Linked DNA regions of Drosophila melanogaster. The protein of the gene in region 2 purifies or fractionates together with the protein of the main gene of each other region. This does not show direct contact. Each region holds a gene or a part of one and is shown on either strand. Other genes may lie near its edges.

Region 1 (5,606 bases), on a different chromosome or scaffold from region 2:
TATGTTCGAAAGCACCCAGATCTTGGGTCAACGTCTGGCGGATGCTGCTCTGGGACTGCTCAACGAACAGAGCCAGGAGTCCACGGCACGGGAGGTCACTGGAGATGTGAGGTTCATCCACCAGTTTGTGGACATGCCCAACTACAATGGCAGCACCTACAATCCGCTGAGCAGGAAGGTCGACAAGATCAGGGGATGTCAGCCGGCCATGGGCTATAGCTTTGCTGCTGGTACCACCGATGGACCTGGAGCCTTCAGCTTCGAGCAGGGAACCACCACGGACAACCCCATGTGGAACTTTGTGCGCGACTTCATCGCTGCTCCCACGCAGGAGGACATCAAGTGCCATGAGCCCAAGCCCATTCTTCTGGCCACCGGCAGGGTGAGTTTTTCCATTAATCAATTATTATTAACTAAAAAGCAAGTCTGAAAAAAAACAATAGCGATTTTAAAAGAATTTCTGAAATTGCCTAAAGGTATGCAGCACAAAAATCATTCCATTTGTTTGGAACTTTGTTGAGTGTTGTGTGCATCAGAAAATAAATTTAAATGTGTTTAATAGTGCAAAGGAACAAAATACCAATTTTGGAATAGAATACATAAATTTATGTAGTGGATTTTGTTTTTATAATGCACATTTAAGTGGGGTAATTAAACTGAAACGTTACGCAAATTAGTTGTCAGCTCATAAAAATCAAGGTAAGGTAGTTATAGCCAGGCTATAGGTCATCACTTAATGCGCAACTGTTATTTAAAAATCTAAGTGCACTTTAAGCATATCTAACATGTACATTATCCATATTTAAGGCCACCTTTCCCTATGAGTGGCAGCCAAAGATTGTCTCGGATCAGCTACTAAAGATCGGCGATGTGATCATAGCCGCCGTGCCCTGCGAGTTCACCACAATGGCAGGACGTCGTCTGCGAAACCAGATTCGAGCAGCTGCCTCCGCCGTCGGAGGCATCGACACCGAGGTAATCATCGCCGGACTGACCAACATATACACCAGCTACACGGTGACCCCGGAGGAGTACCAGGCGCAGCGTTACGAGGCCGCCTCCACGATCTTCGGTCCCCATACCCACTCCATTTACATGGACGTCTTCGAACGCCTGACCAAGGCCATGATGCGTAATGAGACCGTGGATGCGGGTCCAAGTCCGCCGTACATGAATGATGTGATGCTATCGCTGAACACCGGGGTTCTCTTCGACGGACATCCCATAAACACCGACTTTGGCTACGTGAAGTCGCAGCCCAACAAGGAGTACGGCATCAACGAGACGGTGAAGGTCACCTACATATCCGGAAATCCGCGTAACAACCTCTTCACCGAGAAAACCTACTTCACCATTGAGCGAAAGATCAACGAGGATCGCTGGAAGGTGGCCTATACGGATGCCAGCTGGGAGACCAAGTAGGAAGCGCCAGCTTGAGGTTATAAATGTTGGTACTTAATAAAATCGTTACTTTTCAGAATGGTCTGGCACCGAACCAATACGATCCTGGGCTTCAGCGAAATGGACATCTACTGGGACATCAGTCCGCAGACTCTTCCCGGGGAATATCGCATTCGCCATTCCGGGGAGTACAAGTACATCCTGGGCGGAAAGTATCCCTACGAGGGACTCACGCATTCCTTCACCGTTAAGGAGGACTAGGATTAGATATCCGTGTGGAGTGATTTTATAAATATTCCTGGCCAGACAGTTGTAGGGCCCATCAAAAACAAAATCAACACTGAATCCATGTATTTATTTACCATTTGTAAGTGACGAAGGAAAAGCTTTATTTTTGCAAACGCGAATAAAAAAGATGCCAAATTATGTTGAAACTAAGGAGAAGTGTTTTTAATTTTGATCGAAATGGCTGTTCTAGTAGTCTTTTGACATTGCTTCACCTTTTTACCAATTACAATTCAAATTGCCCGCCACCATATACGATCCGCAAACAGCTGTTCGAATGAAATCCACAATGCTGTACAAGTTTCTCTCTTTCAACTCTTTTTCTCTTTTGTGGTATTAAATTGAACTTCGAAATTCGAAATTGGTGCTCTTCTCTTAAATTCGAAACAGAAACCAGAAATTCTCTCTCTTTCTGGATCTGGAAGTCGGTATTTATCTATATTCGAGGCGGCAGCAAAACAAAATCAGTTCCAGTCGGTATTTCTCGGCGCGCGCACGCGAATTAAACAGAAACACAAATTATATTTTTGTAGTCAAAACTGTGAAAAAGGGAATTTACTCCTCGGGGGACCAGAGAAAACAATCCTTAAATTCGAGTCTAAACGAAAATATCTAAAACAAACGTGATTTGTGTGCTTCCAGTTAGAGTGCATAAAATGTATCTATAAGATACGAAGTGCGGGTGGGCAATGCAATCGAGGTGTTCTCGTTGAATTGTAAACAAAGAAGGCGGCCAGTTTCATTGACATCCATTGAGATCCAGCAACAAGTTCGCATAAGAAACACAGGGTAAATTAAAGAAATTCCACAGATACATTTTCTAGAACTTCTGACGTGTTCCTCCTGCCGGCATCCGTCGTGCACTGATAACAATAATCGAGTCTTTTTACTTGAATGACGGGAATGTGGGCCATCTAAATTGAATATTCGATTTTGATTAGAGAGAAATGCTCTGCTGCGCTGTGACAAAAAAACTAAACTGATTTGAGTGTTCACATACTATTCTATATGCACTTGTTGTCACCACATGGCGATTCAATTGACCGCTTTTTGCCCCCACATATTCCCCATTTCCTACTGCTGATGCTCCTCCCTCCTCCTCCATCTCCGCTGGCGATAAGCCTCTAAATATCTGGACTCGAAAAAGTCTGTGCGGCATAGGCGTCAATGTGTATATGTACTTTTTACGTCCGTCTGGGTGTGTTTATATAATGATGATCAGGGGGCGAAAAGAAGGAAGTGCCGCAGTCACGTAGTCAATTGTAGGCATTTGTTTTGGTCTCGTTTCCCGTGCACTTCATCTTCCAATGCAAAGGGTATAAACACTGCGTTGCCAACTGTGCGAAAAAGGATGGCCTAGTTCAGCAAGGAATCAATAGATTTGAAACAAATTGTTTTCTTCCTTTAACTATACATTTCAGTAGCAAATTACATGAATAAGTAATATTAGGTAGTCAATCAGTGACTTAAAAATAACCAGTTTATTAAACTGTTTTCAAACCTGTTTGTAAAGAGGATACAATTACTTTAAAGGGTAATAAAGTTACTCTTTATATAACAGAATCCTTTTTTAAATGTATAACATATATAACATAATGTACCTGGTAAATGTCTATGATTAAAACCCAGTTGAAGTGACTCCTATTTAGCACGGACACAAACCTCATTTAGCCGCTCTTATTAGCGGGATATTTCTTGTCTAATTGGAAATACTTAACCAATTAGACTCTGGTTTGGATGATTAATGGCTAGGCGTGTATTTTTGAAAATACAATCGGATTCAATAGCTTCAATTAACTTACGAGCAAGGTGTGTTAATTTATGAAATTTATAATTTAGCCGCAATCTGGTTCGTTGCTCCCCGCCTGCTTTTTCGGCCTTTCGCCTTTACGTCCATTTGATCAGTATTATTTGTTTGCTAATTAGTTCGGCAATGACGACCGGTTGGCAATAATAGAGTTGGATGCGAAAACGAAAGTGGCTGCCAAGTGGATCACCAGTTCCATCCATGTGCGGAATGCAATGAAAGTGAGGACAATGTCGACAAGGAGCTGCTATTTGGCCCACTTCCTTGTCTGGTTTTTGCGCCCATTTCGCTCCAGCCTTTTTCCCAGCTCATCTTTCGCTTTTATAATGTTCAGCAAAGTCTTTGAACCGGTTTGGTATTGCGATTTCCATCGGGGACGCCTTTTATGCTTACATTTCAAGGTGAATTGTAAAATTTATGTGTGCACACGCTCCATGACGGCATCTGACTGGCATTAAAGCACTTCGCCATGGGTTAATCATGGGGGCCAGCCGGGTGTTAAGGCAGCTGGGGATGAGCTGCGAACATTTGTCATTCATTACTAATTAGCAAACTCGCTGAATGCACTTGAATCACTCCCGCGTCCCGAGTCCTTCCTTCCTGCCTACTGAATATTTAATGCGAATGCCATTTTTCCAACACAGCGAGAAATTAAATGGGATGGATTCGATCCGAGAGATGACACCTTATTGTTCGTTAGAATTATCAAAATTTTATTTAGAACTTCTCGAAATATGTACGTTATCAAAAGTGCTTTCTGGAATTTCCTGAATATTTCTGATAGTATGCAAAGCTAATAATCAGCGTGCGTAGCAATGAATGCAAACGTGTTTACATCACACTCTTCTTTACAACACTTTCATAATCCATCATCATTTTTCTCCAGTGCTGGGTACTTTCTTTCCGACAAGTTGTGACAATCAAATTAACGCTTATAGAATTGAAAAGTTCACGCCCTGCGAGTGGAACTTTTGCTGGCAGACAAATCACATTATCTACGACTTTGAATCCAAGTTCTTGGAGCAATTGCAGCATGTGGCCTGGAAACTGAAACAGAAATTGCCACACGCTCTTGGCCTGGCCAACTCAATTACACTTAACCAAATTGTTTGCATAATTTGCACAAACTAGGCAGACCGAGACCATGATTTTTCCACAAAGAACTCTTCTTTTCGTCTTTTTGACTTTTTTTTGCATCGTATCAACAAAGTGGAGAGACCTCATTCGGTGGTTAGGGCAAAGTTTGTGCTCATGATGATGATACTTAAGGCGATAATGATGATGAAGTGGTTATGGCGAGGCGCGTCTAACGAGTCCATTAAGTCGCTGAATTAAGGAAAAACTCGGAGTCAAATTACAGTGCCAACGACGAAATCGACGGTTCGATTCGATGCGATTTTAATTATGCATTCGATCGACGAGCAGAGCCACTCAAATTGGCCAAATTGAATGGAAAGGGAAGCTTTTGGCTAGGAAGCCGTACCCTCGCCGAATTCCATTACGAATGGGCAAATGTCATAGCAGACATGGGAAATAAGAAGAGCTCCGCCTGGGGAAGGTCAGTCCGCGGGTCCAGGGGGGCCTGACATTTAGCAGATGGAAGACTTCGGTGGCAGCAGTTTGGCGACTTCGTGCCACATTAACAGCCACTGGCCCATAGAGACAATGTGGCCAAAACTGTTCACGAGCTTGCTTTTGTCGGCAGCTCACAAATGCCAGGGCTCAAAGAGCAGGTGCACGGAGAAAATCTCTATATGGACATGGAAATATACTAGTTGTTCCATGTACCTAAAAACTACAGAAATATCTTCATTCAATTTGAATAACTTAACTTGCAAAACTCCTAATTATTTAGTCATATCTCTTTATTATTTGCCAGTTCTACAAATCATGCAATTAATACGCTTTTAATTAACCTCTTTATAATATAGCATCAATTATAAAGACACAATTCATTTATAAGCAAAGTAGCTCCACCCAAAATCGATTCAAGTTTAATTCTGGCTATTTTAAAACAAGAAAACTAGTTTCGAAAAGACATTCAAAGAAGAGGTAGAAAAGTCCTAAGACAATGTCAGTTTCTGATAAATGTTATGATTAGGTATTCTCAGAT
Region 2 (5,534 bases):
AAATGTATTTTTTATACAGTATTTTTATCGGTTCAGTTGCTGCTTAACACGCAGATTAACTTCTTCTTGTATGCCCAAATTTAAAATTCTTAATTGATGATGGCAAAAATATGCGCATTAAAGTGCTACATATATGTACCATGATAGGTTCCTTTAAGATTTGATATTATTAGTTGGCTTTTTACAATGTTAGCTTGAGCTAAAACATTATATTCAAATATATCTTGCTTTTAAAAAGTTAAAGTAAAGATAGGTGATGTTCAGCAATCATTTATGTCACCGCTGTAACGAAGCTACTATTATTTCTATCTTTAGGACGACAAGAAATTCTATTTACTTGCTTTCCAGCGGATTCCTTGAGCTTGCTTACACGAAAGTTTTTGCATTGATAGCGCACAAGAAGATTGTCCGGACTTATTTGTCTGCCAATCCGCCTGCCTCGCGATCTCTGTCCGTATGTCCATCCGTCCATCCGTCCGTTCGACTGTCCGTCCGTCTGTCCGTCTGCGCGCCTGTCCGTCCAACTTCACTCAACGAGCGCCACAGTTGGCGTCTGCGTCTCGAGTTGCTGCTGTTGTCTCACTGTCAACACCAAGAGGTATGCAACATGCGGCAGCGCGGAAGGAGGAGCAGTGGGATAGTGGGGGCAATAGTGCCTCCGTCGCAGTCGTTGACAACTGCAGCATGAGTCTGCGGAATTGAGTTGCTGTTGCTGTTGCAGCTCGCTGTTTACTGTTTGCTGCCTGTTGCTGGCTGGCTGGTAAATAATAAATGCGTTGCTCGGGAGAATGCGAGATGGGAAATCAAAATGCAAGCGCTGCCAGATTTTTTTGCTGGATCCACTTGAGGCGGCAGCAACAATGTCCCCCGTTTCGGCATGGCTTCGTTTTGTTTTCCTCCGCCGGGCCGTTAAGTGCAAATGCAGCAGTAGAACAAGCAGCAGCAGCAGCGGCAGCACGGCATTGTTGCAAGTACGAGTATCTTTTGCACGTTCTCAATATGCATTTCTGAATTACAATATGTTGATTGCATTTCGCCGGCACGTAGACGGAACACATGCACTCCAGGGCTTCCAGCCGCCATAATAATGATGAGTATTGAAATTGCCAACAATGCAGTGCATTTCCGCAGCTCCAGCCCCCCACCCACTGCCTCTTCCACTATCAGTCCCTACTCGGCTTCCTTTTCTGCGGTCTGGTGGCCTTTGTTCTGGCCAGGATCCCTCCCTTAGCGGTTCGGGCCAAATTACTTTATACTCCTGTACGGTTCGTTGCCAGGGTAATTGATATGGCTTTGTTTCGCTCGGCTGTTTCTGTGTTTCGCCCTTTTGTTGAGCGGAAAGTTTGTTTCTGGAATGGAAAGCCGCCAGCCGAGAAACCTCATTTCGCTTCCTCCTCCCGAAGACGGGGTAAGACGTGGTAAATCCCTGAACACAACATTAAACATACCACCCCAGACCACGAAAAGCTACTCCCAACCTCCTGCCAAACCGCAGATGACATAATTAATGAGCCTTTGAACCGTCCATAAATACAAAATAGTTCATATTCAGTTGTTGTTTAAGTTGCACATGACCTGTGTATAAATCAATTTAATATTTCTCCTTTTCTCGTTACAGGTAAGTTGATATACGACAGCCAGGCGACTCCTTTCTCTTTGTTGGCCGTGCCAGTCACAATGGCAACATCAACAACAACTTCCAGCAACTTTTTGAATTGTGTGAAGGCGGCACGTCAATGTCATTGGGACTTAAGGTAAATGGCGAGGGAAATTCAAATTCGAACTCCAGAAAGCCGGGCCAACTGCTTGGGCGAAAATTACGATGACTTGTCACACGAGCCCGGTTTTTCTATTAGCTTTTTTGGTGGAACTATTCAGTGGGGATTGTTAGCAAATTAGCACAACAGAAAGGTTCATAAATTGCAATTTATTTGGAATAACTATGGATTTTTACCTGTGCACCTTTCGAACAAGAAAAACTAATAATGACAAAATTAAAAAAGCTCTCGAGAGGCTAGGCTAAGTCTAGGGAGCTTGAAATCAGGATGTACTAAGCGTGTTCTGCCAAAAAAAAAAAACCTTATATATTTAAATACACAACTGTATCATACATTAAACCGAGCGCATCGAATCCAAAAAACATCAAAAAATGAGGCCCACGCAGCACTCCGTCATAAACTCCTTGGGGAAAAAGATTTCGAATCAAACTATCAACGATTCGCACTCCAACAAACATAACTTCATGGATATGGAACAAGAGGAAAAGCAGCCTGAGCATATGTACATGGCCACCCAGACCGTGGAGGACATTCTTAATGAGGTCCTGTGCATGCAGAATTTCCAGCAAAAGCAGTCGGACAGCAACCTAGATCAGTTCTGCCACTCGGAGAGGTCCAGGGATCGGAAGCCGGGCGACGATTTGGACATGGACCCGCGACTGCGCAGCTGGAACCGCGTGCTGCAGGAGCGTAGGCGACTGCAGGATAGGATCGCTCGGCAGACGGGTAAGCGGGCCGAGGACGTGCTCTTCAATCGCTCGGCGACCATCGACGAGGCCAACAAGCGGATGATTCTGCGCGTCCTTGACACCGCAGACAGGTCACGACCTCTTGCTCGCCTCAAGGACAATGTGACCTTGAACTCCCTGAAGCCGCGCTGTGATCCCCATCTCTGCCGCGAGATTAAGGAGCTGTACGCCGCGAAGCCGCAGTTGCAGGAGGTGGAGTTCGTCGGCCTGCCGCAGGTCACCCAAAAGGAGCTGGCTGCCACCCGCCTTCATTCCAACGAGATCGAGAGCCAGTGGCAGCGCTCCCAGGTCTTGAGCGAACGACTTGAGGACAAGAAGCACTCTATTCGACAGGTGCTTGACTTTGCGCCCGATCTAAATGGGCTGCAGGTCACGCCGGCCTTTGTGGGCTCGTCCACTAAGAATCTGCCGATCATCAAAATCGACGAAACTTCCTTGTCTAATATCTCCGGGAACTCCACTCCGGAAGAGGAGGAGGATTCGGAGTCCGATCTGCTGTCCATAGAGGGGGAGGTAAGCGATAGCTTTCAAGAGGCGGCACTCGAGGATATTACAAAGGGAATTGTCGAGAGTCAGGACATGGATGACGTCAAGGACGTACAAGGTCTGATGATCAACGGGGTGATCCTTGATTACCGCAATCCTGTCGGCGCCATAAGCAAAAGCATCAATATGCTGCTGCAATGTGAACCATATGAGCGCGTGGTGAAGATACTTTTGGACATTCAGGTAAACTGGGGTTCATCTTCGTGTCCTTTTCTGTGGGGACATTAGTAAATATTAGTACGAGGACATACTTGCTAACACAATGGCTTCCTGCAGAATCTAAGTCCGAAGCTGGTGCACGTCTATTGGCTTAGTAAGAACCGCTTGCGTTCCGACCGGCTGCCCTTGAACTCCGAGATGGTCTTCGACCGCAGCGAGTTCATCCTGGAGCCACAGGGTCGCCGCCTCATTCGTGTGATGTTCCAGCCGAAAAAGGTGGGCCTTTTCACGCAGCGATGGCACGTGAACTTCCAAAAATCGCCCTTCTGTGGCACCCGCCGCCTGGACGTCGTTCTCCAGGGTCAGTGCACCATGCCCGTTCCGTTCCAGAGACGCCTCGAGGGTCACCGACAGGTGCCCCTAGATAAGCAGCAACAATTGCAGGCCCAGGGCCTTCTGCAAATGCAGGCCAGTCTGGCTCCCATTATCGAGAACCCTCGACCATTGTGTCCCTACCAAAGACATCTTGACGAGCGCGAGGTCTTTAATGCCCAGAACTTCTCTTACCGATGCCAGCGATACGAGGATCTGGAGGCTCTCAAGGACTTATATCAACTGGCCAAGAAGCCTCGCGATAGACCCTGGGATTTAAGTATCGAGACCCTGCGTCACTTTATTGGCAAGCAGGAGAGTCGCTTCCTGCGCGAGAATCTCCACAACAAACTGGTTGCTTTGCTCCAGCCGATGAAGTGCAACAGGTGCTCAGCTTATCCCTTAATGGAACACAATACGGAGCGGGATAGATCCCGCTTCATTTACGTGCGTGGCACTATCGCCAGCAAAATCGACGAGTGGGAGGCAATGGTTTTTGGGCTGGATGAACAGTTCTTTAAGCTGGAGCTCCTCCACTATCTAGGGGAGAATTCTTCTCTTCCCGTCGCCTCAGAGCTAGGCCAGAAGAATCGCCAGCAGGGTCCAGATGAAAACGAAGAAATTCAGATCGTGGAGAAAGTCTCGAAGAGAGTCAAGGCAAGCAAGTACCTCAAGGACTCTCTCTATATGCACACCTACAGTCTGCTCTGTGATGCTGCCGAGGACATAGTCTCCGTCATCGAAAGCACCGCTGATTAGCATTCACAACACCCTTTCCCAGTTTTGGTCATATTTTTTTTAAGTGGCAACACCCAAATAAAATAAAAAAGCATTTATTATAGATATGGGGCTTCATTTTTTTTCGCTGTTAGACTTATACACTGGACTTACATATTGTACCGACTTAACAATTATTGAAATCACAATCCATTCACCACACCAACGAGTCATATAGCTAGCTTGAAACTAAGCCTTTTCAATTCGAGTCAATATATATTTTATAATTGTTCAAGTTAACTCGAACCCCAAACTGAACCACGTTACAAAATGGAGGGCATGGAAGATATTAACCTCAAAACCAACGGGTCCGATACCTTTTCGAAATTTACACTGGCCAACATGGTGTCGCTGCCATCTTCTTTGACCGAACCGACGACCCGTTCGACTGCACAGGCGCAGCTGAATGCCGAGTCCCCCATGGGCAAGTACACGGAGCGCATGGTGGAGGATATTCTGACCGAGATTTTCAAGGAGCGACGGGGGGACTTTCCAGAGACCTCATCCTCTTGTCACGCGGCTAATATTCCGTGGCCAATTAAGGAGCGGGAACCGCACGTGGACAAACGGCTGCGATACTGGAAGGAGGTACTTCACCAGCGCAAGTTGATGCAAGAACGAGTCCAGCGGGAAACGGGCAAGCTGGCCAGTGAGGTGCTCTTCAACCGCCGCTCCACGCTGGACAACCGCGACGGGCAAATGGTGAAGCGCGTGCTGGACTACGCGGACCGCATGAAGGGCGAGCGTCTGATGAGCGCGCCACTTTCCAAGCTGGGCGACCAATTGGATCCATGTACCTGCCAGGTAGTTCCTGGACTGCAGGCCACGACACCGAAAGCGGAAAAGGTGGGCTACAAGGATTTAGAGATCGTTGGCATGCCAGAGGTCTGCAAAACGGAGATCTTGGGTAAGGAGGCCATGGAGCAGGACCCACCACCAGGCTGGCTGCAATCGGAGTTCCTGGACAAACGACTGGAGCAAAACTTTGTAGACATCCAAAACGTTGTGGAGTTCTTTCCCGATGTGGATGCCCTGCAGGTGAAGGGTACTGCTCTCAGCAAGATCAATCGATTACCGAAGCCGTTCCTAGTGGATGTGGATTCCATGCACACGGTGACCAAAAGTGAGAGCTCGCCGATCTGCACCGAGGAGT

Evidence for each region. Proteins that work in one complex are often made in the same cells at the same time.
Region 1: the proteins of CG11060 (region 2) and PH4alphaEFB purify together in Drosophila melanogaster (affinity purification with mass spectrometry, with the first as the bait; one large-scale study listed by BioGRID). This does not show direct contact.

Annotation. Positions count from the first base shown.
Region 1 is NT_033777.3:30,463,900-30,469,505, forward strand, and holds the start of PH4alphaEFB (prolyl-4-hydroxylase-alpha EFB), read left to right. Parts: upstream 1-2,150; 5' UTR 2,151-2,475; intron 2,476-5,606. Other genes in the region: CDase (ceramidase), read left to right, coding at 1-382, 808-1,418, 1,479-1,662.
Region 2 is NT_033778.4:7,173,847-7,179,380, forward strand, and holds CG11060 (uncharacterized protein), read left to right. Parts: upstream 1-2,039; 5' UTR 2,040-2,149; coding exon 2,150-3,256; intron 3,257-3,349; coding exon 3,350-4,363; 3' UTR 4,364-4,444; downstream 4,445-5,534. Other genes in the region: CG33140 (uncharacterized protein), read left to right, coding at 4,652-5,534.